Mus musculus: one gene and its partners. The protein of the gene in region 3 purifies or fractionates together with the protein of the main gene of each other region. This does not show direct contact. Links are inferred from orthologs where the notes say so. Each region holds a gene or a part of one and is shown on either strand. Other genes may lie near its edges.

What was found.
Region 1: the proteins of Mettl9 (region 3) and Slc30a5 purify together in Homo sapiens (co-immunoprecipitation; 3 studies listed by BioGRID and IntAct, with this or other methods). This does not show direct contact. The link is inferred for Mus musculus from reciprocal best matches to the Homo sapiens genes METTL9 and SLC30A5.
Region 2: the proteins of Mettl9 (region 3) and Canx purify together in Homo sapiens (co-immunoprecipitation; 3 studies listed by BioGRID and IntAct, with this or other methods). This does not show direct contact. The link is inferred for Mus musculus from reciprocal best matches to the Homo sapiens genes METTL9 and CANX.

Annotation. Positions count from the first base shown.
Region 1 is NC_000079.6:100,828,295-100,838,971, forward strand, and holds the start of Slc30a5 (zinc transporter 5), read right to left. Parts: upstream 5,134-10,677; 5' UTR 4,884-5,133; coding exon 4,807-4,883; intron 729-4,806; coding exon 606-728; intron 1-605. UniProt on the Homo sapiens protein: Together with SLC30A6 forms a functional proton-coupled zinc ion antiporter mediating zinc entry into the lumen of organelles along the secretory pathway.
Region 2 is NC_000077.6:50,319,867-50,330,543, forward strand, and holds the start of Canx (calnexin precursor), read right to left. Parts: upstream 5,808-10,677; 5' UTR 5,627-5,807; intron 1-5,626. UniProt on the Homo sapiens protein: Calcium-binding protein that interacts with newly synthesized monoglucosylated glycoproteins in the endoplasmic reticulum. It may act in assisting protein assembly and/or in the retention within the ER of unassembled protein subunits.
Region 3 is NC_000073.6:121,046,869-121,057,445, reverse strand, and holds part of Mettl9 (methyltransferase-like protein 9 precursor), read right to left. Parts: intron 9,609-10,577; coding exon 9,418-9,608; intron 5,360-9,417; coding exon 5,150-5,359; intron 232-5,149; coding exon 47-231; intron 1-46. UniProt on the Homo sapiens protein: Protein-histidine N-methyltransferase that specifically catalyzes 1-methylhistidine (pros-methylhistidine) methylation of target proteins.

The DNA of each region.
Region 1 (10,677 bases), on a different chromosome or scaffold from region 3:
CACAGATAGGAACCACACAGTCTATTAAGCAAGGCATTAAAAGAGCTTTGCAAGAATCTTAGCAATACAAACTGAACTAAAAGCCTGTTTGGCAAGTCATTAGAATTCAACTAACTTCTTTTACTTTATTTTTGGGACAGAGCCTCACTGTGTAACTGGGGCTGGCCTCCAATTAATTCATGATCCTCATGACTAAAGTTCCCACGTGCTGGGATTATGGGCTACTACACTCAGCTGAAATAACTTTTTCTACAGGTCTCTATACTTCTACTCTTGTACAAGCTTCTATTTATAGAAAAAAAATTCAGTTAGCTGTCAGAAGAAATAAACTTCACAGAACATATAAGTAAGATTTCTTAAAAATAGTCAAAAGAGGATTTTCAGAGAAATAAAAAACATTAAGAGCCAGGCATGGTGGTGCACACCTTTAATCCCAGCACTTGGGAGGGAGAGGCAGGTGAATTTCTGAGTTTGAGGCCAGCCTGGTCTACAGAGTAAGTTCCAGGACAGCCAGGGCTACAAAGAGAAACCCTGTCTCGAAAAACAAAACAAAACAAACAAACAAACAAACAAACAAAAACCATTAAGGCCCTCTCCATACTCACCCAAGTTTTAATATAAAAATAAATTGAACAATGTGAACAGCTTTTAGGAGATCATATGATTCAAAAAGTCCCACAGCCTTCAAACATTTGGTTAAACACAGCAATAAAATGTATCTTGTTAATCTGAAAAATAAGAACAGGAACAATTTTTAATATAATTGAAATCACTAGGATCACTGTAATCTTATTTTCCTCTCATAATACCCATAATAAAAACTACAGAAATACACATGAACACATAGAAAACAATAAAAACCCTCTCCAAACAACCCACCATCCACATGTTAACTACTGCTAAAACTTTGGGTCCTATACTCCTGGTTTATTTTCAACGTATATTAATGTCTAAGGTAGGCCTGGTGGCATATGCCTGTAATCCCAGTTACTTGGGAAGCTGAGCAGAAAGATTTGCTTTCTTTTTGCCAGACTTCCCTTGGTCTCATGGCCCTTTGTAGCATCCAACATGCACTAAGTGAGCATGGAATATTCAACCCAGGCCTGGGTAGCTTCAGGCACAGCCTCACCTCTTTCTCCTGACAGGGAAAGGAGTGCCTTGAGCTAGTCTACCTTATCTCTGCCTTAAAGGAAAACCTTTTATTACCATCCCCCTTTTTGAGATAGGATCTTACTATGTAGTACAGACCAATCTCAAACTCATGACCATCTTATCTAACTTACCTAAAATTTACATTTTTATTTATATTTTTAGTCAAACCCCAAATACATTAAAAAGTAATTTAAAAATTTTTAGCTAAAGATGCTGTATCCATTTAATAAGTCTAACTATAAAAGTTAATATAGAATAAACAATAGCAGGGAAGAACCATAAGGAATTCATCTGTGGGGTGGGGGTGGGGCACTGTGGGCAATCCGGTTTCTTTTATGCGGGAGAATCCCTATCTATCCAAGCCTCTCCAGTTCCATGATTCTGTGTAATAACCAAGACACACGCAAGGCCCTGTCCTCAAGGAGTTCCAGGTCTTCAGGAAAGAACAGGCAAGCAGACCGGCTACGCTTCCCAAGTAAGCTGACAGACACCTCTAAAATACGAGCATTGGGCAGGAGACCTTGAAGATCCTACTGCATTTAGTTTAGTTCAATTTAGCCAATTTAGTTTAGCCTAATTTAGCAGTAGATTGCTTATGATTAAAATCAAGGAAAAGTCAAACTGCATGTAAATACTTGTTTTACAAAGAATATAGACTTCTATATAACGTATTAAAAATAAAAAAACTAGGTCTTGAATGAGAGATATGAAGCTATTCATGTAAAATGCTCATGATATATTAGTATTAATAAGCCAACTTTATTTTCATACACACATATGTGCATAGCACCCCAAAGGTCATAACGTTAATTCCTGAGTAGCTGATTATTGGAAAGGTTTTAAAAAAATCACTTCTAGCTCTCTCCTCACAGGTAAACAATTTACAAACCTTTTCCTATGTTTGTCAACAAATATTTTCTCCACATTTACAATCATGCACATAACTCAAGAGCTTTCTGCTTATAATTATCAAATTAGAAAAATTACTTCAACTTTTAAATATAGTATTCTTTGATTTAAAAAATTCCTTTATTACATATATTATTATTATTACTATTATTTGTGTGTGTGTGCATGTGTGCTCGCATAAGAGCATATGAAGTCAGAAACTCACAGAGTTGGCTCTCTCCTCCCATACAGGTCCAAGGGGTCAAATTCAGGCCATCAGTCTTGGCGGTAAAGACCTGTACCTGCTGAACTGTCTTGCTAGTTCCTGGATTTTTTTTTTTGTTGTTGTTGTTTTGTTTTTGTTTTTTAAAGACAGGGCTTCTTTTTGTAGCTCTGGCCTGGAGCTCAGAGATCGCCTGCCTCTGCCTCCCAAGTGCTGGGATTAGCTGTGTGCCACCACATCCTCAAGCGTCTGCAGTCTTTGATTGTCAAAGTTCTAGTTACTACAACTTCCTGCTGGACATCTAGACAAGACTAGTTAAGGCTAAGTAACCATACACAGAAACACCGCAGTTCATATTAAGGGGGGAAATGACTGGTAGGTGAAGACAGGGATGGGAGACTTTCTTATACAGGTTACTGAGCCTCTGGGCAGAGCTGGGGCATTCAACCCAGCTCCCCAACTCAGGAACCACTGCTTGCTATTAAGTGACCAAATAAAAATATAACTGGTCTTCTATGTGGTTGGTTAGAAATTTCTTCAGGTCTCTAAACTCGCAATTATTAAATTTTGGATATGAGTTTATAGTTCCTTCTTGAAATGTGTCCACTGCTGCCACTCACAGTCTCTAGATATCAAGAGAGGAGGAGGGCATGGGGGCAGGTACGAGGGAGAATATGCCCAAACAATGTACACACATAAGCACTTGCTGCGTGTGTGAGCGTGAGCCCCTGGCACTCACGTAAGGCCAGGGTGTCAGTCACTGCACTACAGAGGCAGAGGGAAGCCTGAGGCTGCTAGGCCGCATCCAGGCCCAGAGAGGGCCTCTGCCTCAAGGAACAGGCCATACCAGCACATAATTCACACACATATACAGCAAAGCTGCTGACCAGGTACAGCGGCCTATGTTAGCACTTGCAAAGCTAAGGAAGGAGGTGGCCAGTTGTGGACACCATGGTATAATATCTTGTCTCAAAAATAATTTTGATGTATAATAATAATAATACTAGTTCAATTCAATGAATTCAAGCATTCATAGGTGTAAACAGAAGGCATGCATAGTAAATACACAGATTCTGAAACAACTCAGACTGCCAGGTCATTCATTAGTTGTGTGACCTTAGGCAACTCAGTTTCCTGCCCTATCAAACAAGGATACTACTACTTAGCTTGTAGTGTTCTTGGAAAGACTAAAGGGATCTATACACTAAGAGTCTTTGGGGCATAGGAGGTACTCAGCAAATGCTGGCAGCCCTGACCACTGGAATTTGTGCACTCAGGCATAAAAATAACCACACTGGAAGGATCTGATCATTTCGAATGTTGCAGTTAAGATCCAGTGCTCGAGCATACAGAAAACTCTGGAAACCTGAAATCCCTTGAAATTCAGCCAGCTCTGAGTCAAAATTTGAATTCTGTAATAACCTACGATAGAAGGGCAACTCTGCCAAGCAAATAATACAGGTAAGTTGGCAAAGGATGTTTACCACGTTTAAACTATTTATACTCTCACTCTCCCCCCCCCCCCATCCTTGAACTGTTTGAGAGTAAATGAAGTATATCACATTTTACCCTTGTATTTCCTAAAAATATGGCAACTCTGCTATGAAATCTGGAGTTATCAACAGGAAATTTAACAAAGATCTGATACTTTAATCTGTCTCCATAGTCCAATTTTGTGACCTGACCTAGTCTTGTCCCTTCTATTACTTCCCTTTATTACCAAACCATAGCACTAGCCCCTTCTGCATCTAGCTGTTTTATGGTCACTGGTTGACACGTGACATGCTATAAATGAATTGCTGAAAATAGACAGAAAACCAAATGCATTCTGCAAATCCCGCAGTTGGTTTAAATTCTACTCGGCATATGGGTTCCACCCCCACCCCCCCAGACAAAAGTTAGCTGGTATCGCTGTAACCACGGTCTAAGAACCTTTTCAAAAACAATCACGAAATCTCATCGTACATACTGCTAACCAGTTTGAACGAAATTGTTGGGCTTTATTTAACACCACCTCAGAACTTAGGACAGGACCTAAGGGCACAACTGGCTAGAGGCTTTAGGAAAAGGAAAATAATTTAGGCTGGAGGAAAAGTAAAGAATTTCCACGCTACGAATCCCCGTACGGCATGAGTTTTGGGGGAGAGGGGGAACGTACATTTCGTACTATTAGAATAAGCCCCCACCTCTCCCCACAAAACCACGGCAACGAAAACTCGATGACAGGGTTGCATTTTTGCTGTGCTGTATACCCAAGTTCATCGGCTTGTACTTTGGTTTCTTCGCCTGAGACGGTGACACCTTGCGCATATCCTCTGGGCGAGCCGTGGGACAGGCTACGGAGCCCTGCGTTACTTAAGTGGCAGGGAGGGACATTCAGATCCTCTCTCTCTAGGGACTGGAACCTGGCAGGCAGTGCGTCCCGAGCCCAGACTCCCGCCCGCTCGCCGATCTCAAGCCACGGACCGCAGAGGTAGCCCGCGGGGTCCGAGCAAGGCGGGAAGCTTGTCCGCACCGCCGGCGGCCGTGGAATCCCACCTTACCGGGCGCTGGGCACGTCCACCGGCCCGAGGCCACCGCCGGGCCCGGGCCGCGCGTCCCCGCCGTACTTCTCCTCCATGCAGGCTCAGGAGCCGCTGCCCGCGCCGCGGGCTCTCCTCATGGCTCGCCGCCGCTGCGGAAGCGCGGGCGCAGGCGCGTCACTCCCCCATGTCAGCAGCGTCCTCGCAAGCTCGGCAGTCTCCGCCGCTAGCCCGGGCTCGGCAAGCAGGCACACGCACGCTGGGCGGGACTAGGCCGCGGGCTGTTCCGGCAGCGCCGTTCCCCGGAGGCCGTACGGGCAGGAACGTTACCGGGCCACGTCATCCGCCCCGGCAGCCCTCACTCCCGGGGGAGTGACCAATCCTGCGCCTGCGCGCTGGTGGACACGTGGCTTCGCTTCACTCAGGCTCCTCCCACCGCTGGGAAGGCTCCGCTCGACCCGCCCCCTCCTCGCGTCTTCAAGAGAAGCCCCTAAGAGGTCCCTGCAGCGCCACCTAAGGTCCATCTTGGCTACAGCGTGTTCTCCTCGCTCGAGGGATGGATGGATGGTCCCCTAGAAAATGCATATTTGTGTTAACAAACAGAGCTTAGCCCTTTGCTTCAGGGTTCTTCTTTCTTAAACGGCTTCACTTTGTAGCCCAGATAGACCTAGAACTCAGCATGTAGCCCAGGCTAGCCTCATAAACCTGGATGATGAATTTCAGGCGTGAGCCACATATAGGCGTTGCTAACTCAAGTGCATTAACGGTTTTTTTTTGTTTTTTTTTTTTTTTTTTTTCTAATGAGAAAGCTAAAAGTTTTTTGAAGTGCCTGTGACTCCCACAAAGAGATTATTATTTTTGGATTTCTGATGATACGATAACGCAGAGTGGGAGGCTAAAACAATGGAGAAAGGCAACTGCTTGTGGATTTAATTGTTGGGCAGGAGTACAGGCTAACCTGCTCAAGTGTGTGAGAGGGAACACAGAAGGAAGGGGCTACAGGTGTGCTATTGTAAACAATTTTATTCCCTTTCTAAAAATATTGATTTTCTTCAATCCTGTCTTTGAAATGATATTACTTAGTGTAGACATATCTATATAAAAGCTATTTTTTTACAGGTACCTGGGTCTCTATTGGTCTGAGTCTCAATAATTGTGGACATCTTGGTCAGCATGGTGGCGCATGCTTCTAATCCCAATTATAGCCAGAGGCAGTTTGAAGCCAGCCTGGTCTACATACTGAATTCTAAGCTAGCCAGGACTACAAGGTGAGATCCTGTCTCAAAAGGAACAAGAAAAGAAATAAACAATTGTAGTCACTTGACCTATCTGTTGTTTAGTTTTCCTCCCGTTCGTCGTTTGTTGTTGTTATATAGAGGCAAGGTCTTATGTAGCCTAGGCTGGCTTCCAACTTGATATATAGCTAAGGACGGACTGGAACTCTGGTCTCCCTGCTTCTGTCTTCCAAGTGCTGGCATTATAGGCACACACCCCCTTTCCGGAAAGTAGGAATAGTAATATCTATATTATAAAGCTGTTCAGAGGGAATGTGAGTGGCATTTAGTATTACTCAGTAAGTGTTAGCTATTATTACTGAGGGAGGTTTGGACTGGTGATTTGAAGGAGAAAGTGGGGTTTCCAGAAGGACAAATCATAATTAGTTGATACTATTCTACTGAATTTGAACACACACAAAGAGTCCAAGTGACATGTATGTGAGCAAGCTAGCAAAGGCTTTACCTTTAATCTGTGGTAGAGAGTAGTTAGCAAGCTGAGAGCAAGACTCAGCTGACAGTGTAACATGTTAAAGTCTGGAGGTTTTCCAAAGAGCATCTGATAAACAGGAAAGGCTGGCAAAGAGTTTGTGAGTCATTTCATATTGATAAATTAAAAGGAGAAGAAGAAGAAGAAGAAGAAGGAGAAGAAGAAGAAGAAGAAGAAGAAGTAGTAACAGAAGCAGAAGAAGAAGTAACAGAAGCAGAAGAAGAAGTAACAGAAGCAGAAGCAGAAGAAACAAGGAACAAACCTTTTAGTTAGACTGGTGGCAAGTGCCTGTGCTCTTCCCAGCACAGGGAAAGCCTCAGGGTTTAAAAGATTGCCTGGAGAGGGGGTGGGGGGGTGGGAGGGGAGGAGAAGGGAAGGGAAGAAGAAAGAGAAAACCTTAGGGGTTGACACTCTTACTTGAGACCTCAGTAAAGGTTTTTCACGCTACACGCCGAGCCGGGAGGCAGGTACAGTCTGGAGAAGCTACAGACGCACACATTCCTGTTTGAAGCAAGTAAAAGACTGACAATACAACATAGCCTCACTGCGACTGTTTTTAGTGTGTGTGTGTGTGTGTGTGTGTGTGTGTGTGTGTGTTTCATTGGGATCTTGTTGTTTTTTAAACTCATCATGTATATGGGTTTCTTTTCTGTTGTTATAAAACACCATGGCCTAGGTGCCCTCCAGAAGAAGGGGTATTCGGTTTATGCTTCCGTAGGGTCAGGAGCCTGTCATGGCAGGAACGGTGGCAGGAAATGGAGGACGAGGAACGGTGGCAGCAGGCAGAGTGGCAGGAAATGGAGGACGAGGGCTCACGTCTTCAACTACAAGCTTGAAGCACAGAGAGCAAGCCAGAAGTCGGCTTTTTAGCCTCAAACGTCTTCCCATCCCTAGCGACATACTTCTTTCAGCAAGGTCACTCCTCCTAAACCTACCCAAGCATCACCACGAGCTGGGGACCAAGAGCTCCAGTGTATGAGCCTGTGGGGAACATTTTTAAAAATTGATTTTATGTAGAGGAGTGTCTCGCTTACGAGTGTGCATACCATGTGCATGCCTGGTGCCTAAAGAGGTCAGACGAGAAGGCCAGTTCCCCAGGATCTGAAGGTGTAGATTGCTGTGGGCCTCCATGTGGCTGTTGAGTTGTAGATTGCTGTGAACCCCTGTCTGTGTACTCCACGGGAGCAGTAAACCTTCTTACCTACGGAACCATCTCTCCAACCCTGGGGGCATCAACCGCAGGAGACTTCATAGTATTATGTTTATTTATTGTTATCTTCACATCTGGGAGCAACTGTTGGCGTAGAGTGATTGGGTCAGGTGAGGAGGCCCAACAAAATCGAAGGTTTTTGAAGAGGTATTTTAAATTTTTATTTTTGAAAATTTGCCTGTGTCTATGAGCTGGTTGGTTTTTGTTTTTGATTTTGATCATATTGACATGAACTAGGGTCACCTGGGCGGGGGGGCGAGATAATCTCAGTGGAAGAATTGCTTTTATTAGACTGGCCAGTAGGCAAGTCTGTGGGCTATTTTCTAAGTGATCGCTGTAGGAGAATCGTACCCATCAGTCGTGGGTGGCATTAGAAGGCCAGCTAAGCAAGCCCTGGGGAACAAGTTAGTAAGCAGTGCTCCTTTTCCTTCGTGCCTCTGCTTCCGGTCCTACCTGTGCTCCACTCAACGATGGACTGTATGCACACTGTAAGCTAAACCCTTCAAGTTGCTTTGGGTCTGAGTGCTTCATCACAGCAGAAGGGAAGCAAAGGGTACAGCGCCTGAAGTTTGTATGTGCAGCACATGCGTGTGTGCCCTCGAGGGGGCTAGAGGAGGGCACCAGACTCCCTGGAACTGGAGTCATAGGTAGTTGTGAGCCATCCGGCGAGAGACCAAATCCATGCCCTCTGCAAGACCAGCAAAGGGAGCCAAGGCTCCAACTCGTTGTTTTGGGTTTTAGACAGGGTCTTGCCATGCATCCCTGGTGAGTCTTGCGTTTACTTTGGAGGTCTGATTGGCCAGGAGTTCATGGCAAGCCTCTTGCCTCCGCCTCCCCAACATGGCGAGTGTGAGTGCTCATACCACACCAACTCACCAAATATTTCTACACCTCCCTTTTGGCAGCAACTTCTTCATGGAATGCCAAACGGTGGCAAGGGTAGCAGAGCCGGCTCTGTTCCTGTGGAGCGTAGAGAACAAGGAAAAATGGCATGTGTGAACAGACTCACTCGCACCTGCGGCAGAGCTCGGATTGAAGTCAGCCGATGCTTCTGATTTGGTTAGAGTCGTAACATTTCCCTTTAGTATTACTACATTTTCGGTGATTGCATGTACTCTTTGCTTCTCAACCTGTTTCTGTCAGGTTTCCAGTCCTCTGAAGCCACTCTTCCTTGGATACATTAGCCTCCTATCCTCTCTCTCTCTCTCTCCCCTAAACTATCCACACCCCACTCCTCTCCAATGTGTGCACACACTAGTGCTAGGCAGCCAGTCGATTCCTGGGCTGTATTTCCAGTCCTATTTCCCTTTCTTTTGAGGAAGTCACAGGGTCTTACTATGTTGCCCAGGCTGGCCAGAATTCCATATCCTTCTGCCTCGGTCAGCTCCCCTCATGTTTTTTTTCCTATCCATGAGTTTGTGGGTGCACACATGGATGTGAATATTCTCATGCAAGGTGCACATGCATGCACAGTTGTGTATGTGGGGGTCAGAGGCCAACTTCAGGTGTGGGTCCTCAGGAGCTTTCCAGGGAGATGGCATGTGTAAACCTGCTTTGTCTTCAGTTGGTCCCTGTTTCTGGGTGCCTCTGATGCCGACATAACTGTAATTCCAAGACGAGATGCCATGTAGATTTTTCTTAGGTTGTCCATGTGCTTCTCCATTGCCCCATCTGAGTTCAGTGGGGGAACCAGCAGCCATTTCTGGGGTTGAGGGGAAATGGCTGCATTGTAGACTTAGCCTGAGTAGTTCTGAAGTAGTTTCCAGTGGGCTTTTTGAGAGGTAGAGCAAATTAAGGGACATCCAGAGCAATAGCGCACACATGGCTTTTGTTTCACGTGTTAGCTTTGTTCTACGTCTTCATGGAGAATGAAGGTATACTTTTATAAAATAATTGAAAATGTAGGAATGTGAAAGGAAGTGTACACTTAAAGCTATCAGCTGTCCATAAAAACATTGTATGTTTTTCTTTAAGGCCCCCTCCCCCCCCCAGTGCCAACTCCTGTTCTTTCTTTCATACTTTGGATTTCTGAAATGCGATCTTGCTTAGCAAGGCCCTGAACTTGTCATCTTTGTACTTTAACCCTGAGTGCTGAGATTACAAGCTTTTAGTTTCTATTTTTCTCTTCCCTTCCCTTCCCTTCCCTTCCCTCCCCTTCCCTTCCCTTCCCTTCCCTTCCCTTCCCTTCCCTTCCCTTCCCTTCCCTTCCCTTCCCTTCCCTTCCCTCCCCTCCCCTCCCCTCCCCTCCCCTCCCCTCCCCTCCCCTCCCCTCCCCTTCCCCCTTCCCCTTCCCCTTCCTTCCCCCCTTCCTTTTCCCCTCCCCTCCCTTCCCCTCCCCTCTCCTCCCCTCCCCTTTCCTTTCCTTTTCTTTCCCTTCTTTTTCTTCCTTCTTTCTCTCTCTCTCTCTCTTTCTTTCTTTCTTTCTTTCTTTCTTTCTTTCTTTCTTTCTTTCTTTCTTCTTTCTTTCTGAGACCCTATTACTGTGTAGCCCTGGATGGCCTGTAACTTAATAGTCTCAGCATTACAAAAAGGAACAAAGAGAAAGTGGTTCATCAAGGTGATTTTTTGGGGGGGATGATGGGGTATAACAGGGTTTTACTATGTAGGCTGTCCTGGAACTTACTGTGTAGTTCAGGCGAGCCCTGACATTCAGCTCCCCGTCTGCCTGCCTCTCTAGTGCTGGGATTTAAGACATGAGCCATCACACTCAGCCAAGGGGACTGATGGTTTTTTTTTTTTCCCCTTGGCAAAAGATTGCACCAAATCCAAAACTGGTTAGCAAACACACTTGCCAAAATGGCCTCTGATATAGGTGATGGTGTGTTATCCCATCTGTGGGAACACAAACCTCACACTCTGACACAATAGGTTAATTGACACAAAAGGGAAGGGAGAGGTTCAGGAAATATGGGCCCTTG
Region 2 (10,677 bases), on a different chromosome or scaffold from region 3:
CAAAATACATTCTTTGCATGAAGACTTTGGCATGCTTCCCAACTTACCAAAGACAATGAGGCCTACTTTTCAGGCCCAAAGGTATCTTCATGACCACCTACCTAATGCACTCATACTTCAGTGCAATCCACCCAGCTTTTAGAAGGGCGAATTATCTTAAATCCTGGAAGTGGAAAGTTGAGATTTTATTATTTCACAGTGCTGTGATCAAAACCAGAGCCTCCTGAAGGTGAACAGAGCCCTGCCTCTGAGTTGCATCCTCAGTGTTCAGCTGCAGGTTTTCTATTTGGAAACCTCAATTCCTTATTATCAAGACAGCTCAGTGGTGAACAGTAACCTGCCCTGTCAGGGAGAACTGTTGTAGTTTCTCCAGCTTCTGGGGGACCCCGGCCAGATCATCTACATCCAGTTCTCCCTCCTCCAGTCTACAGACCTGTATAATACAACTACTGCCCAATGCTTGTACTTTTTTAAAAAATAAATTATTTTTTAAATTTCTTATGCATGAGTGTTCATTTGCCTGCATGTGGGCCTACCTACCATGTATGTGCATAGTGCCACAAGACTAGAAGAGGGGATCAAATTCTCTGGCTCTAGAGTTACAGATGGTTTTGAGTCACCATGTTGGTGCTAGGAACTAGACAGGTCCTCTTGAAGACCACCTAGTACTGTTAACCACTTAGTCATGCCTCCCCCCACCCCGCCATCGAAGACTTTACTTCTTAGAATTTAAAAAACAAATTCAAGCAGAATTTGGTTTTGCAGACATGTAACCCAATACTAATAGAGGCAGAAGCAGAATTATCACAAGTTTGAGGCCAGTTCTACACTATGAATTCCAGATCAGCCAAGGCTACGTAGTATAATCCTGTTTCAAAACTCAAACAAGGGGGAGGGGAAAAAAAAAACTCAAACAAAAAGAAACCTCAACTCTAATTTCTTTCATTTATGAAAATCACAGGGATAGTAAGATGATCTAATATTCTTAGTTATTCTAATATAAATACTAAGTAATTTTTGAAATAGCATGGAAACTTTAAAATGTGATTTCTATGTAAGCTATACATTCCTTCCATTCATTTCAGCATACTATTGGTGTGAGTCTATGTGAAGGCTTGTGTGTACAAAGGACAGACCTGATGTCTTCCTCCATCTCCCTTCACCTTATTCTTTGACACAGGGTCTGAGAGAACCTAAAGCCTATGAGCTTTAGCATCCCATTGTCTCCAGTCCCCAGCGCTGAATGCTGACAATATAAACTCAGGTCTTAATGCTTGCACAAGAGGGTAGGCACATCACCATCTAAGCCATCTCCTCTGCCCTCATTTGACATAGTCTATTAAAAATTTTTGGTCTTAAAAAAAAATTAGGTCTTGGCAGGTAATACTTTAGGTGGCCTAAAAGACCCCATATAAACTCTAAGAGTTTCTATCACTATTTATATATTCTGCCCAAGAGCATAGACAGAAATATGTTTATAAACACATATTCAAATCACGATTTCTGGTCAGCTACTTAATAATGTGGGTCAATTGCTAATCTCTGGGCCTGAGTTTTCTTCTCTAAACCAACACTAACTTCTGCTCTAGAACTGCTGACTAGGTTAAACATACATGAACTGCGTATGAGACCTGTTTTACAGCATGCGCTCAATGTGACTGTCTACAGTTACTAGATATCGATACTATTTCTACTTGTTGATTTTTTTTTTTTTCGGTTTTTCGAGACAGGGTTTCTCTGTGTAGCCCTGGCTGTCCTGGAGCTCACTTTGTAGACCAGGCTGGCATTGAACTCAGAAATCCACCTGCCTCTGCCTCCCAAGTGCTGGGATCAAAGGTGTGTACCACCACTACCTGGCTACTTGTTGATTTTTAATGAATTTTAAGGTAAATACTCTAAACTTTATTTTGGGAGAAATATAAGCACTTAGTTGTATTTATTATTTTGTGGATGTACACATGTGGAAGTCAGAGGGTGACGTCCAGGAGTCAGTGCTTTCCTTCCAACAAGTGACACCCAGCAATAGAACTCTAGCTTGGCAGCAAGTGCCCTGACTCTCTTATCATCTTTCCACTATTTTTGTGTGTATGTGCGCGCGCCTTCAGATTTTACTACTACCTTGTCAAACATTTAAAACATGGGCTAGAGAGATGGCTCAGAAATTAAAAGTGCTTACTGTTCTTGCAGAGGACCTGATACCCACATTAAGTGGCTTACAATCCTTTACCAGTGCCTTTAACTCTAGCTCTGGGGGATTCTGTACTCATGTGTACATACACATAGAAATGCATGATTAGAGGCCAGAGAGAAGGCATAGAGGGTAAAGGCACTTGTCAAGAAGCCTAACAGGTTGAGTCCAATCCCTAATACCCATACTGAAAAAAAAAATTCCAGAAATATCACACCAACTTCCATACAAGTTCAAATGCCATGGCACATGCATGCACAAACAAAAGATAAAGTATCTTCTGAGAATTACATTTAATGGGGAAAAATACAACTTTATATGCTCATCTATTAAAAAATAATTTTTAAAAAGTATGCATGATTACATACCCCTGCAGTCCCAGTTACTTGGGAGGCTGAATTTGGATGACTAAGTGAACTCAGAAATTCAAGATCACCTTACAGTGAGGAGATAGTTAAGTAGTGGTGTTTTCCTAATTGCTAAGTTCAAGGCTCTAGAGTCCATCCTCAGTATTTGGGGGATGAGGTAGGATAACAAAGACAGAACAACATCCTGAGAAACAGTGTGACCTGCTCTATAAATGAGACCTATACCTTACTCACATGTCATATTTGGGGGTTTCTGCTTCATGTGTTGGGAATGGAACCCTGGGCCTAGGCCAAGAATTATATACCACCTTCTTGGATTTGTTTTCATTAACAGAAACATAGGAGTAATTTGGTGGTGGTGGGTTTTTTGTTTTTGTTTCGTTTTGTTTTGTTTGATACAGGGTTTCTCTGTTGTAGCCCTGGCTGTCCTGGAACTCACTCTGTAGACCAGGGTGGTCTTGAAGTCAGGGATAAATCTGCCTCTGCTTCCCTCATGCTGGGATCAAAGGTGAGCCACCACCACACCACCCAGCTAATAAGTGATTTTTTTTAAAAGAAACTTTTTCCTATTAATTCACTTTAAGATGTGAATACGCAGGATGGAGAGATGGCTCAGTGATTAAGAGTTGAATTCCCAGTTGGGCAGCTTACAACTGTTTGTAATTCCAACTCTAGAGAATATAATGCCCTTTACTGGCCCCCATGAATAATATATTGCATATATATTCACACCAACATACACATATTTTTAAATATATATATATATGTACATAGTACACACACACATATTAAAGATTTATTTCATGTATATGAGTACACTGTCCTCAGACACACCGGAAGAGGGCATCGGCTCTCATTAGAGATGACTGTGAGCCACCATGTGGTTCCTGGGAATTGAACTCAGGACCTCTGGAAGAACAGCCAGTGCCCCCAACCGATGAGATATCTCTCCAGCCCTAAATAAATCTTAAAATGATTTTTTTTAAAGACAAGAATACAATATAAAAATTGTCTAGATTCCTTAAAAAAAAAAAAAAAGAAAAAAGAAAAATTTCAGGGCTGAAGACATAGTTGCTGCTCTTCCAGAGGACCCAGGTTTGATTCCCAGCACCAATATGATGGGTCTCACACACATGGTACACAGACATACATGCAGGCAAAACACACATACACAGAAAATTAAATAAGCCTAAAAATTCTTTCCTAGCATTTGTAGCAATAACAAAGCATTTAACAAGCATTTTCCTAATGAGTTTTACAGTAAGCTATACAGACTACAACTATCTTTGGCACTTTAATTACTTCTTAGGACTTTTTATGAGCTGCCAATACTATTTGTCCATTTCCTTACACTTTCCCAAACAGTTTCTTAGTATCTGCCCTCTCAAAGGCAAAGCAAGTAGCACACTCATCCCCATTTCTTTCTTTCTTTCTTTCTTTCATTCCCATTTTTAAAGGATAGGAATTAAAGTTATCATGCTGGACAGTCTTCTGCAGTTATTCTTAGCAACTGCCACTCTACTCCCTCAAAGTTCTCTTACTGGGCAAGTGACCTCTGCAGGACAAGGATGCAAGGTGTGTTGTCAAGATGCACATGCCTTGTGGCTCTTGAAAGATTAAGGAGTTAATTGCACTGTTGAGTTAAGATAGCAAGGAGGTGACACCCATTCACAGACAGTTCGGTAAACTCCTATTGTGAATGGCTCACTACTATATACAGTTCTTCAGGGCCTGGCTCACCTGTAGTGTACCCCTGCCTGGCCTGTAAGCTTAATTACAGTATAAGTACAACATGAGAATTGATTCTGTTCATGCCCTTTCAAAGGTTACTGGAAAATATACAAAGATTTTTAAGGTAACCCAACTTGTCCCCCTTTAAAGGGGTGGGAGGGCAAATTATTTTTAAAAAACAGGCAGATTCTTCCATTTCTGAAGGGTAAAGAGACTGTAGCTCAACTTTGCCAAGCTTTTAGTATTCAGTTTGGTTTAACTTCACACAACTAGCAATGCAATCACTAGTGTCATGACCAGCAGTTAATACACAAAGTGTCATCAATGTGTCCTCAGGTCTTGGCACACAGGCCTTCAATATAAACATTAGTGTATCAGTGTAATGACCAAGGCATTCGGATTTCAAGAAGCCAGTTCGATTCCTACCCACTGAACCTTTACTACACATCCAATTTCTCATTCCCATTCCCTCGGAATTCAATACAAGGCCCATCAGTCATTCTGTCTACTCCTGGGGACTGAGCCCTAAAGTAGAAAAAAAAAATCTCCCAAATTCCCACTCCCCCGATTAATTGCAGTTAGGTGCTTGAACCAGGACTTTTAACCCAAACGGTCTAGTGCTCAGTTACAATCCCAACTGGATGACTAGAACTACCTGTATGACCTTGGGCCAGTCATTTCAAACTTCTAGGCCTCAGTTTCCTCCCCTCACTAACTGAACTTTCGCTTGTATCTCCTGCTCTTAAGGTCCTGTGAACACCCACACTGGATTACTATCTATCCACCACCGAATAGGCAGGTGCTTTAATAGTTAAGCCTTAAGTTTCTCAAGCGGTACACGTTCTAGTACATTCTACTCCCTCATCAGGATGCTATGGTCCAGTCTTCCCTTTGGGCAAGTTATTTTCTAATCTGTAACGCTTATCTCTGGATTTACTTCACCTTTCCCTGCTATTTGGGCTACCTACTAGGCCGAATTCTAATACCACACCTGTACCGGATTACTCAGCCCACCTCTGGGTGGGCCTGGCCAGGGCCTAAGAAAGCTCTAGAAGCAAAGCCGTAGGAAGTTGTTAGCTTTCTCAGAGGTCAAGGGAAACCCCAGGACACCTGCCACGCCTCCCGACCCCGGCGGCGCTGCCCAGGCTAGCCTCTCTAACCCGGCCGCTCTCCTCACTGCCCTGCGCGTCCGCCCAGGCCTGCGCCATTCGAAAGCCCGCCCGACCCCTCAGTCGTCGAGCCTACAGCCACGCCCGACCCCCTCCGCCACGGCGCCGCTCGCCCAGTCCCCCAAGGCTCGTCCCGGGCCTGAGATCCCCGCACACGCTTCCCGTCTCACCTCGAGCCTCCCGGGGACCACTGGCGGCTCCCTCACCTTCTCCCACCCGCACACCCGGCCCCGTGCTGCAGTGGAGACAGCGGCAGAGGCGGCCCGACCGTCACGTGCCGCAGAACTAAGAGGCCTCGGCTACGGCCGCCGCGCGAGCGAGCCCCACCGCACGAAGCCCAACCCCGCGTCCGCCCCTCGTTCCTGAGTGGCTAAAACGAACGTCAGATCCCGCCCCTTTGCGCAAGATCTAAGAATTTATTGGTAGATACAGCCATCGCTCGAAGCGCCTTCCCATACGCCCCCTAGGGCTATTCTTCGTGGAGCGTGGTGATTGGTCAATAGCGAGGCAGGAAGTGGTTGCTGATTGGGTATGAAGGAGGAAGGCGGGCCGTCACCAAACGGGCGGGCGCGCGCCGCGGAGGGCGGACGGATCTGGCACGCGTTCTCGCGTGGGTCGCCCTAGTCCCTCAGGGCGGGTGTGTTGGACATCCAGAAGACGGCTTTCCGACCCATTGAGTTAGGAACTCTGTCCCAACCCCGCCTGGGACCTATGGCCTTCATCACAAATGGTGAGAGGTCGGGCGGTGTGCTTGCGCAGTGAGTGAAATCCCTCTGGGTAGCAGACACCGCCTTTCCTGCGGAGTCATCGCCCTGAGCTCAGGAGCCTGAGACCTCTTTACCTAACAAAACACTACCTAGATTCACAATCAAGCCACATGGAGTCACTTTCCCATGTGCCCGTGCTGTTTCCTGATTTTAGTCGTTAAAATCAGACATACCTAAGCGACAGAGTTGAGGAAAAGGGTGATGCCATGTGCAGATTTAAAATAGCCTTTTCATAACCCACTCGTTTTTCAATATGCTGATAACGCTGTAAGATTGAAGTGGCTAAGGATTTGGCTAGATCCTTGAGAATCCTGATCGCCTCGGGTTGTATTTGGTGACCCAAAGCTTTGAATAATGTGGAAAGAAACAGCAGGTTTTTCTACATGTGAAACGAGCTTTGTTCCTGCCACCCCAAGAGAAAGGCAGTAAGGATTTGATGTTTGGGTCAATTTAGTAACCGCCAATTCTCTCTCCCTAATTTTAAAGAAGAGAAATTGCTTTCCTTATTTGCCTTATAAAGAGCATGTTCAAAATGAAAATTTGAAGCCAGCTTGGCACAGGCAGTACACATAATTTAAAAAAAAATTCTAAATTTACTTAGGTTGAGTTCTGGCTTGTGTTACCCAAGATGGCCTTGAATTTAAGAAAGCCAAAAAATCGACTTCTGCAGAGAGGTGTTAAAATATGTCAGTACTGAAGGAGTAGAGGAGTTGAGGCAGAACTTTTCTGTCTAAACTGACAAAGACTTGAACTGGACCTCATAGATATGCAAATTTTCTGTAGGTGGAGTTGGAAGGAAGTTCTTGAGATGAGAAAATTGTACAGAAGAGCAAAAAAGTGACTCTCAGGTATTTGGGGGATCCATATACTAAAAATGTTTTGGGAGCAATGGAGATGGCTCAGCAGGTAAGGACACTTGCCACCAAACCTGATGGCCTGAATTTAATTCCCAGAACTCAACGTGGTGAAAGAAGAGATTGAATTGTACTCTGACCTCTATACAAATTCACATACATACATTAATAAATGTGAAATTTTAATAAAAATGAGGACATGATGGCTCTAAACTATACTGTCCACAAAGAGACTGGGAACGTCAGTCTTCTGGTCTGTTCATGGTGTGTCATTATAGAATATTACAAGTTTCTTTTATGTTTCAGTTTATCCAAACAGCTAAACCTTAACAAAGTTAGCAAATACAAAGAGACTAGGCATATACCTTCAAGTCAGTTAGTGTTAACCTGAGTAGACCTTCAGGAATTGATGAGCCTTATTTATCAGAGATAGCTTATTCATCCAACACAAGTTATTACTTATCTAAAATTTTCTAGAAGCTTGGTGTTGAACAGTCAGCAAAAATATAAGTGGTTAGACATCAGTCTCTAAGTCTTAATTCTTTCTCAATGTCTTCATCCCCAATCTCTCTTACTTGATTTGATCCTACTTGAAGCAACAGTACTCATGTTTCCACCCAGTTTTTTTTTTCTCACTGGCTACATTACTATTGATCATTTCTTTGTACACACTAATCAGGCCCTGTCAAATTAATTGGTAGAAAATACAACTTATTTTATCACAGATTCATTAAACATTTTGCACTGATCATGTAGATTCCTTTTAATTGTCTGTTCATGGAGCTTGTCCAATTTTTCTATTCTAGGCTTTTCTTACTGGCTTGTAAGAAATCTACAGCCTAATGGTCTTGAGAGTGAGTTAGTTTCGATGGTTTGTAAGAAATCTTCACTCGCTGAGATGCTTCTTAAACTATTACTGAGAACCCACCCATCTCCAGCTTCATTATACCTTTTAAATTAGGAGCTATTTCTTTTGTCTTTTTGTTTTTTAAAGATATATTTTATTCCAGCACTTGGGAGGCAGAGGCAGGTGGATTTCTGAGTTCAAGGCCAGCCTGGTCTACAAAGTGAGCTCCAGGACAGCCAGGGCTACACAGAGAAACCCTGTCTCGAAAAACAAAAAAACAAAACAAAACAACATATTTATTTATATGTAAGTACACTGTAGCTGTCTTCAGACACCAGAAGAGGGAATCAGGTCACATTACAGATGGTTGTGAGCCACCATGTGGTTGCTGGGATTTGAACTCGGGACCTCCAGAAGAGCAGTCAGTGCTCTTAACCACTGAACCATCTCTCCAGCCCCTCTTTTCTCTTAATTGCACTTGTTCCTTCTTTTCTCATTATAATTTGTGTGGGTTTGAGGGCTCCATGAGTGTGCTGTACTTGCATATGTCTGTGTATATGGAAGCAAGATTAGTAGGTCCTTATCACTCTCCACCTGAATCCATTGAGGCACTGTAGACAGGATCTCTTCCTTGTACCTGGAACTAGGCCGGCAGCCAGCATGCCCCATTGCACTTCCTGTCTCTGCCTGCAACGGCACTGGGGTCACAGGCATGTGCACCATGCCCTTGTTTTGTTAGAAATTTTTCTTTTACTTATCCTTCAATAATTTCATACATGTCTATTTGTCTGTCTATCTGTCTTCTTTTTTACTTTTTGAAACAGGGTTTCTCTGTATAGCTCTAATTGTCCTGGAACTCGCTCTGTAGACCAGGCAGGCCTCCAACTCAGAGATCTGCCTGTCTCTGCCACCCAAGTGCTGGAACTAAAGTTGTGAACCGCCACCACCCTATTCTTTCTTTTTTTTTAACCAAATAATGTTCTTGGGACTGGAGAAATAGCTCAGTGGGTAAGAGCACTGGCTGTTTTGTTGTTGTTGTTTGTTTTTCTTTCTTTCTTTTAAAAGGAATCCTGCTTCAATCCCCAACACTCATATGGCAGCTCACAACTGTTTGTAACTATAGTACCAGGGGATCTGACACCCAATTCCGACCTTCGTGAGCACCAGGCACACACATGGTACACAAACATATGTGCAGACAAAATAACCATACACACAAAATAAAAATAAAATTTAGAATAATTCTTTAAAACTATTCATGTGTATATACACATGTCATGAATGTATGAGAAGAAGACAACTCCCAAGAGTCAAGTCTCTCTTTGCACCCGTGTTTCCTAAGGATTAGACTGAGGTTGTCCTCACGCCTAGTGGCCCTTTTAGTTGGGTTACTATTGCTGTGATAAAACACCATGACTGACTTGGGGAGGAAAGGGTTTATTTTTCCATATCACTGTTCAACTCAAGGGAAGTCAGGACAGGAACTTAAGGCAGGAGCTGATGCAGAGGTCATGGAGGGGTGCTGCTTACTAGCTTGTCCCCATGCTTGCTCAACCTGGTTTCTTATAGAACCCAGGACCACCAGCCCAAGAATGGCTTCATCTATAATGGGCTGGGACGTCACCCATTAATCATTAAGAGAGTCCTGAAGTAGTAGAGTCCTCAACCTTCCTAATGCCACAACCCCTTAATACAGTTACTTATGTTGTGGTGATCTCCAACCATAAAATTATTTTCTTTGCTAATTCATAACTGCAATTTTGCTACAGTTATAAACTGTAAATATCTGCCCTTTCCAATGGTCTTAGATAAGGTTTTTCAACTCCCAAAGGGGTAGCAGCCTACAGTTTGAAAACTGCAGTCTTGCCTGGAGCCTGATCTTATGGAGGCATTTTCTTAATTGAGGGTCCCTCCTCTCAAATTTCTTTAGCTTGTATTAAGTTGACATGAAACTAGTCAGCACAGTGGCAAATACCTTTACCTGCTGAGGCATCTAAATTGGCTCTCTTGTTTTTATTTCTTGATAGAGCTCACTATAAAGGTCAAGCTGGCCTTGAATTTGAAATCTTCCTGCCTCAGCCTCCTTAGGACACACACACACACACACACACACACACACACACACACGTATAGCTATGTCAAAGACACATGAAGAAGAAAAGAAATACCAACTCACCTTATGCCATTCCAACCTGGAACTTGCAATGGAAGCTGTCCTTCCCCTTGGAGCCACCTGACTTATGCGTGCTCTTCCTTCCCTCACTAAACACTTCTGCTTCCAGTTGTTTGTTGAAGAAGGATCTTCCAGGCCTAGTCGGCCATCACTGGAAAGAGAGGCCCATTGGACTTGCAAACTTTATATGCCCCAGTACAGGGGAATGCCAGGGCCAAAAAGTGGGGGGGAGGGGTGGGTAGGGGAGTGGGAGGGAGGGTATGGGGGACTTTTGGGATATCATTGGAAATGTAAATGAGGAAAATACCTAATAAAAATATTAAAAAAAGAAGAAGAAGAAGAAGGATCTTCCAGTAGAGGGCTGGCTAATCTGAAACAGGATGTGCAGATGTGACTGGCCTTGAACTTGCCTCCTAATTCTGGGATTACAGAACTGATCTTGAACACAGTTGCTCCTACAGCCCCTTCCTCTCCTTCCCCTACATCCACACCCACACTTGTGCCTACTAAATAAGCAATCTGCCACTTGGCTACAACCTTGCCATAAACACATGCATACACACAAATTTTTAAAACTTTA
Region 3 (10,577 bases):
ACCAATAGACTGTCATTCTGAGAAGAGCTGGCCTGCCCACACTTACCGTTTTCTACATAGGGATGAAAGGGCAAAACCAATGCCAGGATGACCCTGCCTTGGGTGGGCTCCAAGACACTTCTGATATCTTTTAACAATGTCAGGGGCTGATCACAGCGATCCAGCAAATTTAAGCAGCTGATGACATCATACTGGAACCCTGTATTCTGCCATTCATTTATACCAAGCACTCTGGAAAAATCAAAAAGAACTTGGTTACTATTTCTCCCACTTAGAGACAACTCCCCCTACCCCATCCCCCTCACCCCTTTCCATTTTCCCTCTTGCTCTTGCCCATAGGTTTTTTAATTTGTTTCTCATTATGGATGGTTGTGAGCCACCATGTGGTTGCTGGGATTTGAACTCATGACCTCTAGAAGAGTAGCCAGTGTTCTTAATCAGCCCTAGCGACAACATTTAAAATAACTAAGATGAGCAGGGAGTAGGGTACATGCCTTATTCCCAGCACTTGGAAGGCAGTCGGGTGGGTCTCTGTAAATTCAAGGCCAGCCTGGTCTACAGAGTGAGTTCCAGGACAGCCAGGGCTACAGAGTGAGACTCTTGTCTTGAAAAAAGAAAAACAAAAACTAAGGTGCCAATAAAGGCCAATAACTTTGTCTTCTAAATCAATGTGTACTCAAAATATGCACCTATAATTTACATTTACAATTATACAAAGGACAGGTAAGGAAAAAATGGCAACTATAGAGGCCAGGAGTCAATGTTGGGTGTTATTCTTCAGATGCCACCTTTTTTTTTTTTTCTTTCTTTTTTTGAAACAGGGGCTTTCATTGGCCTGGAACTCAATAATTACATTGTGCAGGCCAGTGGGCCCCAGGGAGTCTCCTGACTGTCTCCATAGTGCCAGGATTACAAGTTCTTGCCACTGTACTTACCTTTTCACACGTGTACTGGGCACTGCATTTAAGTGTTCATGCTTGCTTTCCAAATAAGCATGACTGTACTGACTAAGCCAGATCCCCAGGCCATGGTATTTTGCCTTATAGCCAGCCAGCCAGCAGCCTGCCTGCCTGCCTGCCTTCCTTTTCTTTCCTTCCTTCTTCCTCTTCTTCCTTCTCTTCCTTCTCTTCCTCCTCTTCCTCGTCCCTCCCTCTCTCCCTGTCTCTCTAACTTGTGTTTTGAAGTTGCTGTGTAACCGTGGCTGGCCTCACACTAGCTCCTGCTTCCGTCTCCCAGCACTAAGACTGCTTATAACAACCCAAGAAAGCAGGCAGCTCCTTTGCTGTACAGGTGTGTGTCTGCACTAGTGTCTCCTGAACACATCTCACTGTGGAGTTTCAGAAGCACTTTATCCCGTGAGACTGCTGCATAACGACTTCAGAAGCTGCGCTCAGCTCATTAAAGACACACAGAACAGTCTCTGCTTTCACAGGAAAATGTCATCAGTTATACTCTTAAACAATGAAATAAACGATGAAAGAAATACTTGTATAATGCTTTAGCCAAACAATTTAAAAGCACAGGTTATGCATTTGATTAAACAAAACAATAACCTTAGGTCTGCAATGGAAGAGAAGCTAGACGTGAAGCAGCAGCAGATGTCACTGAGATAACCTCTCAACTTAATCCACCTCAACTCTCAGCTGCAGGGAAGTGGCTTCTGCGTTAGTTTTAAAAACTAGAAAGACGCTCTCTGAACCAACACTTAGGGGTCTGATGTTGTAACAGTTCAACTTTCCTGAAAGCAGATCAAGCTCACCCTTAATTTTTAAAGCTGTGTTTGTAAACTCAGTTCCATTCTTTAAGATATATTAGTAGTTGTACTCAGGAATCCTAGTGAGTTGCTGGAATATTTCCTTTTATGACAAAATGAAAGGAGTGGCTTGTCCAAGTTCACAATGTAGCACAGAAACTACAACTTGGAAGCCTCTCCTAGCATGTTCCTCAGGTAAGGCTGCTGGCCCTCTCCATGTAAGGTGAGGGAAAGCCTGACCGTGACTCCTTAAAGAAGCCCTGTGGCCTACCCAGCTAAGCATGAATGGCCATCTGTACACTCCATTCTCTAGTATATTCTCATTAGGCAAAGTAAATGAAGAGGCCAGTACCCTCCTTCCCTCCCAGACCACTGTAAGCATTGTTTTTAGTTTTTATTACACTTGTGTATATGTCTGTACCACTGCACACACGTGGGGCTCAGAAGACAACCTGCGAAGTGAGTCCTCTCCTCCCACCATATGGTAACCGGCATCAAATTCGGGCAGCAGACTTTGTGGCAAGCAGCCTTCTTACTGAGCCAACTCACTGGCCCTGGTTTTGTTTTAATTCAGTAGGAAGATATGGGGACAGGTTAGAAACCTATAAGTTGTCATTATAACAAAGGACAAAAACTAACTTCTTTTTGGAGGGGTAATGTATTCTAATTATTACCATGTAGGTTTACCAAGATAGAAACTGAGGATGAAACCAAGGTAGACTATGCGGTCATTCAAACTTACTTCTACATAAGGTCCTTCAAATATAACATCCCAAACACTTATTTAACACTGAGGTGAGAAAGGTTGATGTTTCTATCCACAACTCAACTTCTAGAATCAGCTGTGCCTGATAGAGCAGAGTCTACGTTTACCTCTTCCTTCCATTTAAAGTCTCATTAAGTATTCACAGCAATCCGTCCTTCTACCACCAGCCTTGGTCTGTCCTTTCTCTAGACTAAAACTCTCCGTGTTTTCCAAATGTTCAATCTGCTCCTGCCCCACCAGAGCTGCACAGATGCTTGACTAAGGTTAGTCTAAGTGAGAGACACTCACAGAAGTCAGTGGGGAGATAAATCTCTGTCCAAGGCTTTCCAAATACCACAGGGGCAGGTCCCACCTCCACATGTGTAACCAGTCTGTAGAAAGAATTCTGGAATTTTGGTTTCTTTTAAAAACACAGAAATCTTATAAGAATATGTTTTCCTTTTAAGCCCAGGTGTGAGGATATGGGGCTCCTTCACAGCAACTGACTACCATTTGCCTTGTGCTCTAGCAGGGACATAGTTTTGCCAGCTGCAGATAGTTTGTACAATTGTGTGATGTTTGGCATTCTGGAAACTTCTCAGAGGGTATATAAATGCTAATACCTCAATAGGTGGGTATGGGTGGTGGTTGTTTGTGGTTTGTTAGTAGCTGTGCTCAATGAAGAAGCAAAGTAAAAAGCAAGAAATTAAATATTAAAGAGATATCTATCTCTCCCCCTCTATCCTTCTTCCTCTCCTACCTAGTGATAGAGGTAAAGAGGATGGGGGGTGGGGTGAGAACGCACAAAGTAGCAAAGACCAGCTACAAAGAAACAAGAAAAGAATTATTCAAGGACCCTCCCCCCATCCTTCTTTCTCTCCTACCTAGCTATAAGGGGTGAAACTGGGGGATGGAGGGAGATAAAGGGTAGGAAAAAGAAGAACCCAGAGTAGAAAAATTGGCTATAGAAGCCAATATACAAAGAGAGGTCTCTCACATTTTCTTAAGAAGTCTCGGAACACAGACTTCATACCTAATAAATACTCTTCATAAGTCTTTCAAGCACCAAGTGGTCTGTAACCTGAACTTGACCCTTTACATCCATCATTACTGACATCTGAGTGTGTGTGGGGCATGAAATCCAACTACTGTCAAGGGTGTAAAGAAATTGGTCAGTGGGGACATAAATAAAGTGGAGAAGATACAGTAAATTCTCAAAAAAAAAAAAAACCCCACACAGACTTAAGGGGCTGGAGAGACAGCTCAGCAGTTTGGAGCACTTAGCACTTTTACAGAGGACCTTGGTTTAACTCCAAGTACCCTCATGGTGGTCACAATCATCTGTAACTCCAGGGGATTCCCAACACCCTCTTCCAGTCTCTGTGGATGTCAGACACATACATGGTACACAGACATACATGCTGGCAAAACATTATACATATAAAATATATCTAAAAACAAAACAAACAAAAACCCTAGACTTAACATGTGATCTAGCTATTCCACTTTTAGGCATATACCCAAGAGAACATATTACTCATTTGGCATGGCTGTAGTGGTCTGAATGAGAATGGTCCCCAGCTGGTAAGACTATTCAGGAAGGACTCGGAGGTCTTGTTTAAGGAGGTTTCACTGGAGATAGGATTTGAGGCTTCTCTCTCTCCTTCATGGCTGTTGTCGCAATGTGTGTCTGAGCTACTGTGACAGTGTCATGCCTGCCGGTTGCCAAGTTCCTGTCAATTGGTCACAGGCTCACCCTATGAAACTGGGAACCAAATAAACTCTTTCTTGTATAAGTCATCTTGGTAGCACAGCAATGAAAAGTAACTAAGACAAATTGGTGGTGGTGCACGCCTTTAATCCCAGCACTCAGGAGACAGAGGTAGGCAGATCTCTGAGTTTGAGGCCAGCCTGGTCTACAGAACGAGTTCCAGTACAGCCAAGACTACCCCTTGGTATGTCTTGGCCCTCTTAGGAAGAAAAAGAAAACAAAAAGAAAAGGACCTAAGACAAATGTCAGAAGCAACCCCCAAACATCCCTAACACAGACTGTGTGGGGTGTGCAGTAAGCCATGAGTCCTCCTAAGACTCCTCCAAGACACAGTACACAGAGTAGTCAGATTCATGCCAATACAACAGTGATTACAGGCTAGAGGAAGGAAGAGTGCAGGATGATATTTCAGACTGTTCTTAGGGAAGATGGATAACACGAACGTGCCATGACTGCTGACCTAATTACAGACTTAAAAATGACTAAAGGGATATATTTTACATCACATATATGTTACCAAAATTTTTTAAAGCATATAAAACATCTGGACATGTCACTGATGAGGTCATGTCCTCACATCTGCCTACCTCAAGCTGTCTCTTACTTATGCTATCTTCTCTGTGATGCCAAGTCCTCTGCTTCAGAAAAATGCTGCCATGGAAAATTCCCTTTTTCCGGTTTCCCACTGATTTGTGTTTAATTCTTAACCATGGAAAACTGCTCCTGATTCTTATCACTAGGATACATGCAGAGGTAGAGTCCCTGGCCTTGCATTCAATTCCCAGTGCTACAAACAAACTAGACCAAAACCCAACACACATATACATCAAAACCCAAGAAATGCCCAACAGGCACGCCTGGCACCCTCTAGAACTGGTACCTGTATTTCTTCTTCTGGAGCTGCCAGATCATTGTTTCAGAAAGCTCAGTGGCGTAAATTTCTTCAAAATGAGGGCTCATGATTTTCGTGACTTCTCCATCTCCAGCACCTAAATCAAGAAGTCTATGGGTTTTCCAGTCCGGATTAATTCTAAGCAGTCTCTGAAACTGATCTGGTGAGAACACAAACATGGAGCCTCTTCCTAGCAACCTGGGGAAAGATGGACAGGAGGTGAGATCCACGACTCTAAAGAACGCCCGTGTACACAGAGAAAACAGCACCAAAGCTTTCTGACATTATGAAATTAGTATACAATTCAAAAATAGTTTATCTTTCATGGCCAAAAACAAATTCACAAAGAAAAGGTGGAGGGAATGGCAGAGACTCAAGGCTAACCATAGCGTGGGCAGAGGAACCAAACACACCTTTTAGGAAGATGGATTCAACAATGGTGATAGGAAAAAAATAATTTCGTATAAAAGAGTCTTAAGATGCAGAAAAATTGGATTTAAAAATGCTTTAAAAGAGGAAAAGAGCAATCGTTGTGAGATTAGCCACACTCAGGTTGGTTTATAGTTAGCTGAGACCTGTATTTTATTAAAGGTCCTAAAACATTTCAAGCTGATAATATTGACTGAAAAAAATAAAAATAATAAGCGGCCGGCAGAGGTTATGTGGGGCCTAAAGGAGCCCTCCCTTAGAAAAGCAGGTACAGCCCAAGCAAGCCATAAAGAAGTACACTCCCTACTCCCTTCCTGCTCCCAAATCCTGGTTGTTCTCAAATGAAGTAAAACTCAAACAGCACAAGTCCGAGGAGCTATTACACTGCAGTGAGGCTGAGTGCCTACAGCTGCCAGCAGCCCGCTTTTAAGATTTTCTCTGCAATCTGAAGCAGCTTCTGAAGCAATTCCTCCGCAGATCCTGGAAAAGAGACTGTACCATTCTATCACTTCCGGGAAATAATCAGAATGTAAAATAGGTTTACCATTCAATGACTTCCAAGATGCTTGCAGCACAACCAGCTTCAAGAACACTAATAAAAGGTATGGAGATGGTGTAATAAATTCTTTCTCTTGCCATTAAGGCCACAGAGAGTTTAACAAAATCTAATGATATATTTACAGTAAGTTTTCTGCCTCACACAAATGTTGAGACTGGGAACTGAGAAGAGCCCAGAGACAGCTAAGCATGTTCTAAAAACCACAACTTCTTACCAAAGAAAGCAGTATCTCATAGACACATACCCCATGCCCACTGTTTGTGTTGCCAGCAGAAAAACAAGCACATGGACGAAAAGGGACTGTGGCTGATGGAATGGACGGATAAAATCCACACAGGATCCAGTCAAGCAGAAGGGCTCCAAACAGCCTGATGCTGAGTTCATGCCATAAATCCAAAATAAGTCACAAAATATTTTGCCGAAAACTTTCCTAACTATATAAAACATGTTTCCCAAGCCATCTCTTTGGGATGTGAAGAACTTGACATGATACTATAAAATTATAGAGCTGGGGGGGGTCACCTGAGGTCAGAGCCCACAAAGTTAACTCACCAAAGTCTACATTTAAAGGCACATAAAAGAAATGAGAAAATACTATCCTATCTGCAAAGAACATGGGCAAATGGGGGCTCCATAAAAAGACAGTGTCAAAGAGTCAAAATCTACAAGTCCAGTAAAAGTCAACCAAATGAACTCTGCCTTTCCAGTTCAGCAAGACCTGAAAAGCTAAGCTTCCTACAATGGTTAGCACACACAGCCCGAGTACATATGGAGACAGTTCCCAGTCTCAACGTCAAGGCCTTGGGAAGCACACTATATACACAGAATGGCCTCCACTGCCTCTAGTCCCTCACAATCATCCTAGGTTCTCTAGTCAAGTCTCTCTAGCCCTAACTCTACAGAGAAAGTGTGTCTCTTCCTTATACAAGAAGGTGAACATAGCTATCAAGTCTCTCCAGGAATATAACTTAGTGGTAGATGAGAGTCCTTGCCTCAATTGTAGCAGGCAGTAGAATTCCCAGTACCATCAATTTTTTAAAAGAGAAAGGAAATATTTTTAAACCAGGGGTAGTGGTACATGTTATCCCAGCAATCAGGAGGTAGAGGCAGGAGGCTTGCCACGAATTCAAGACCAGCCAAAGACACATAGCAAGATCCTATACAAAAGCAAAATCAAAGAATAAAAAAACTCACGTTATTTAGCCTTCTTTCTTCCAGGAAGAAACTTGTTAAGTAGCTCAAGAAGGTTTCATCGTAGCTATGTAGTTATTTTTATTGAAGTGAAAAGCACTACATAGTAGAAAATATCTTTGGGTTCAAAATTGAGTTCTGGGTTGAGAACAGAGCAAGGAAGGCAGAAGAAGCACTGAGTTTAACAGGGAGGAGAGGCAGTGAGATGGCTCAGTGGACAGAGGTGCCAAACCTGACTCCCTAATTTAATCCCGACCCACATGGTAGGGGAAAATCAATCCCACAATTGTCCACTGCCTTCAACTGGTATGCCCTGGCATATGCACAGACATATGCACCCACACACACACATATATACATGTGCACACACACACACACACACACACACACACACACACACACACACTGACTCACTACAATAAAAAGCAGAATGAGCAAGGCAGACAGTATGCAAGAGGTATACATCACTGAGTTCAGGAGAACAAGAGTTTGAGGCCAATCTGGGCAACATATCAAGGCTCCATCAAAACAAAAGGGTAGAGGCAGAGGGTTATAAAGGAAGCCAACAGTACTTACTAATTATATAGCCTCTCTGATCAAACTACTCAATTCTAGAGCAAGGAGTCTGAAGTGGGTTTCCTCCAACAGGTAGAAGAAAAGGGAACTAATTTGTTTTGAAACTGACAATCATATAAAGTACTGAATGTAAGCACTTCCTAAAGGAAAGATTCTCACACCTCTATTACTCAGAAAGAATTTCTGCAAGGGTGACTCACATGATTTCTGAAGAAAGAATTAATGGCACAGAACAGAAATTCAATACATCCAATTTTAGGAACAAACATCAACCTAAATTGTATAAACTCAACTCCCAATACAAAATAACAAATGTTTGCTGAAGCAAATATAAGCCAAGCTCATTCAAACAAGAATGAAAATTAAGTAAGAAATCCTGAGGGATGACTTATAGTGCCTGAAAACATGTTTAAGGAACAGATGATAGACTGGGGATCCAGACATTTAGCAAAAACTTGGTTCAAACCTCAAGGGGAAAGAAAACAAAAGCAGAGCACAGGAGGCCTGTTAAACATCATGACTGGTTGCCAAAACTTGGCCTTACATATGTTTAAAAATTCAACTAAGAAGTGATAAATAATATTTATAGGTTAATATGTATAAAGTATTTTCTGTAGGTATTTGAAGGAACCACTCTCAGGGCAGAGAATTCTACACTAAAGTTAAAAACTTCCTAGTGAACCTAAATATGATGTTAAAAACAAATGCTGGACCTTCAAAACAAGTCGTTGCCTATTGTTGGGCTAAATAATCAGATCCCTGCCAGTGGGGTGCGCACCTAAGGCACAGGCCTCCCCTTCAGCAGAAGAACCCCACTAGAAGGACGGCTCTCAAGTTCCACACTTCACAGCCTGCTGCCAGGAGTTTGTTTGCCTGCTGCACTGGTGGCTGTGGTGGCTGAGGTGGGTGCACATCTTTACTCTCAGTGCTCTGGAGGTGGATCTCTGTGAGTCTGAGCCAGCTACACAGAGGAGCCCTATCTTGAAAAAAAACAAAAACAAAACAAAACCCCAAAACAAACAAAGAAACCCCTCAGCTCAGCTGGGTGGAGTGGCATACTCCTTCAGTCTAGCACTTGAGTAACAGAGGCAGGTGGATCTCTTGGAGTATGAGACCAGCCTGGTGAGACCCTGTCTAAAAGACAAAACAACAAAAAAAACAAGAATCTCAGAACCGACCAAATCATAACCTACCTTTTAACACCTTCTCCGGGTAGTTCCACCTACTTCAGAGCAGGCAATGCACTAAATGCACTAAATGACCACAGATAGAGAGATTAACTAAGTTACCTGCAAAGTTATAATGAATTTTAAAAGTCTAAGTACACAGAGCTCCAATAGTGGGCCTTCTGTCAAGGATTTTGACAGGTACAAATACTGAAGGAGAGGTAGTCTCTAGAACAAGGCACCATTCACCTTTCCTTTTTTAAACCTAAGAATTAAAAAAAAAAAAGTGTGTGTGTTGGGGGGAGGGGAGAGTAGGGATTCTCATATTCACTTACCCGTTAATAGATGTTCTAGACATAAACAGGCTAAAAACAGATGATACAAAAGAATGATAGAGTTGGATAAATAGCCAGCCAGATTTCTCAATGCTGTTGTTTAAGAAGATCTGTGTTCCTTGGTCAAGATAACTCTGAACAAAGACAGACTGAAGTGATTCGCATAATTTCTCTCTGTTGCACACATACCACTATGAAAGAAAAAAAAAAGATTAAACATAGTTGATGCAATTCCTAAGAAATGTAACAACAAAAAAACAGAAGTCAAATATAATCTAAGATCTTCAAATATAATCTCACCACCCTGAGGCCGATCATCATCTTTTCTGCCCATGTGACTCACAAGTACAAAATCCTTCCTCAGGCATGACTTCCCACTCCCCACTCTTCCTCCAGCCCTCTAGGGGTCATGCAGCACAACTAGACCATCAGCCCAGGTCTTAGAAGCCCAACCCAAGGGAGGCTGGAGAGATGGCTCAGCGGTTAAGAGCACTGACTGCTCTTCCAGAGGTTCTGAGTTCAATTCCCAGCAAGCACATGGTGGCTCACAACCATCTGACACCCTCTTCTGGTGTGTCTGAAGACAGCTACAGTGTGCTTACATATAATAATAAATAAATCTTGGGGGAAAAAAAAAGAAGAAGCAGCCTTACCCAAGGCTTCACTCACAACGCAGTCAAGTCACAAGATCTTCCCTGGCTGAGATTCACTTAGCATTACCAAGCTAACAGCTAGCATCATTGTGTTTAAATGAAACTCCACATAAACCAATGACACACCTCAAATCCACCAACCAAATCAGCAGCAGAATGAGCAAGAATTAATTGGTACTCTGGAAACTACACCAGGTTGCCTGCCTTCTTCAGAGATAAAGAGATGCTTTAGCAGCATGCTCACCAGCAACCCTCAAGAGACTGCAGGATGAGCTCACGCAGTCAAGAAGACCAAGTGAAGGCAACGAACGAAACGAACGAAAGAGTTCTAGGAATAGGCTCTAGCAAGAACATATTTTAAAAATAAAATTCCACAACTACCGATAAAAGTTAACCTAATCAATGCATGGCTCAGTAGTTAAGAGCACTGGCTGACCTTCAGAGGACCCAGGTTAGTTTCTGAGCACCCACACAGCAGTTCACAGACATCTGTAACTCCAGCTTTAG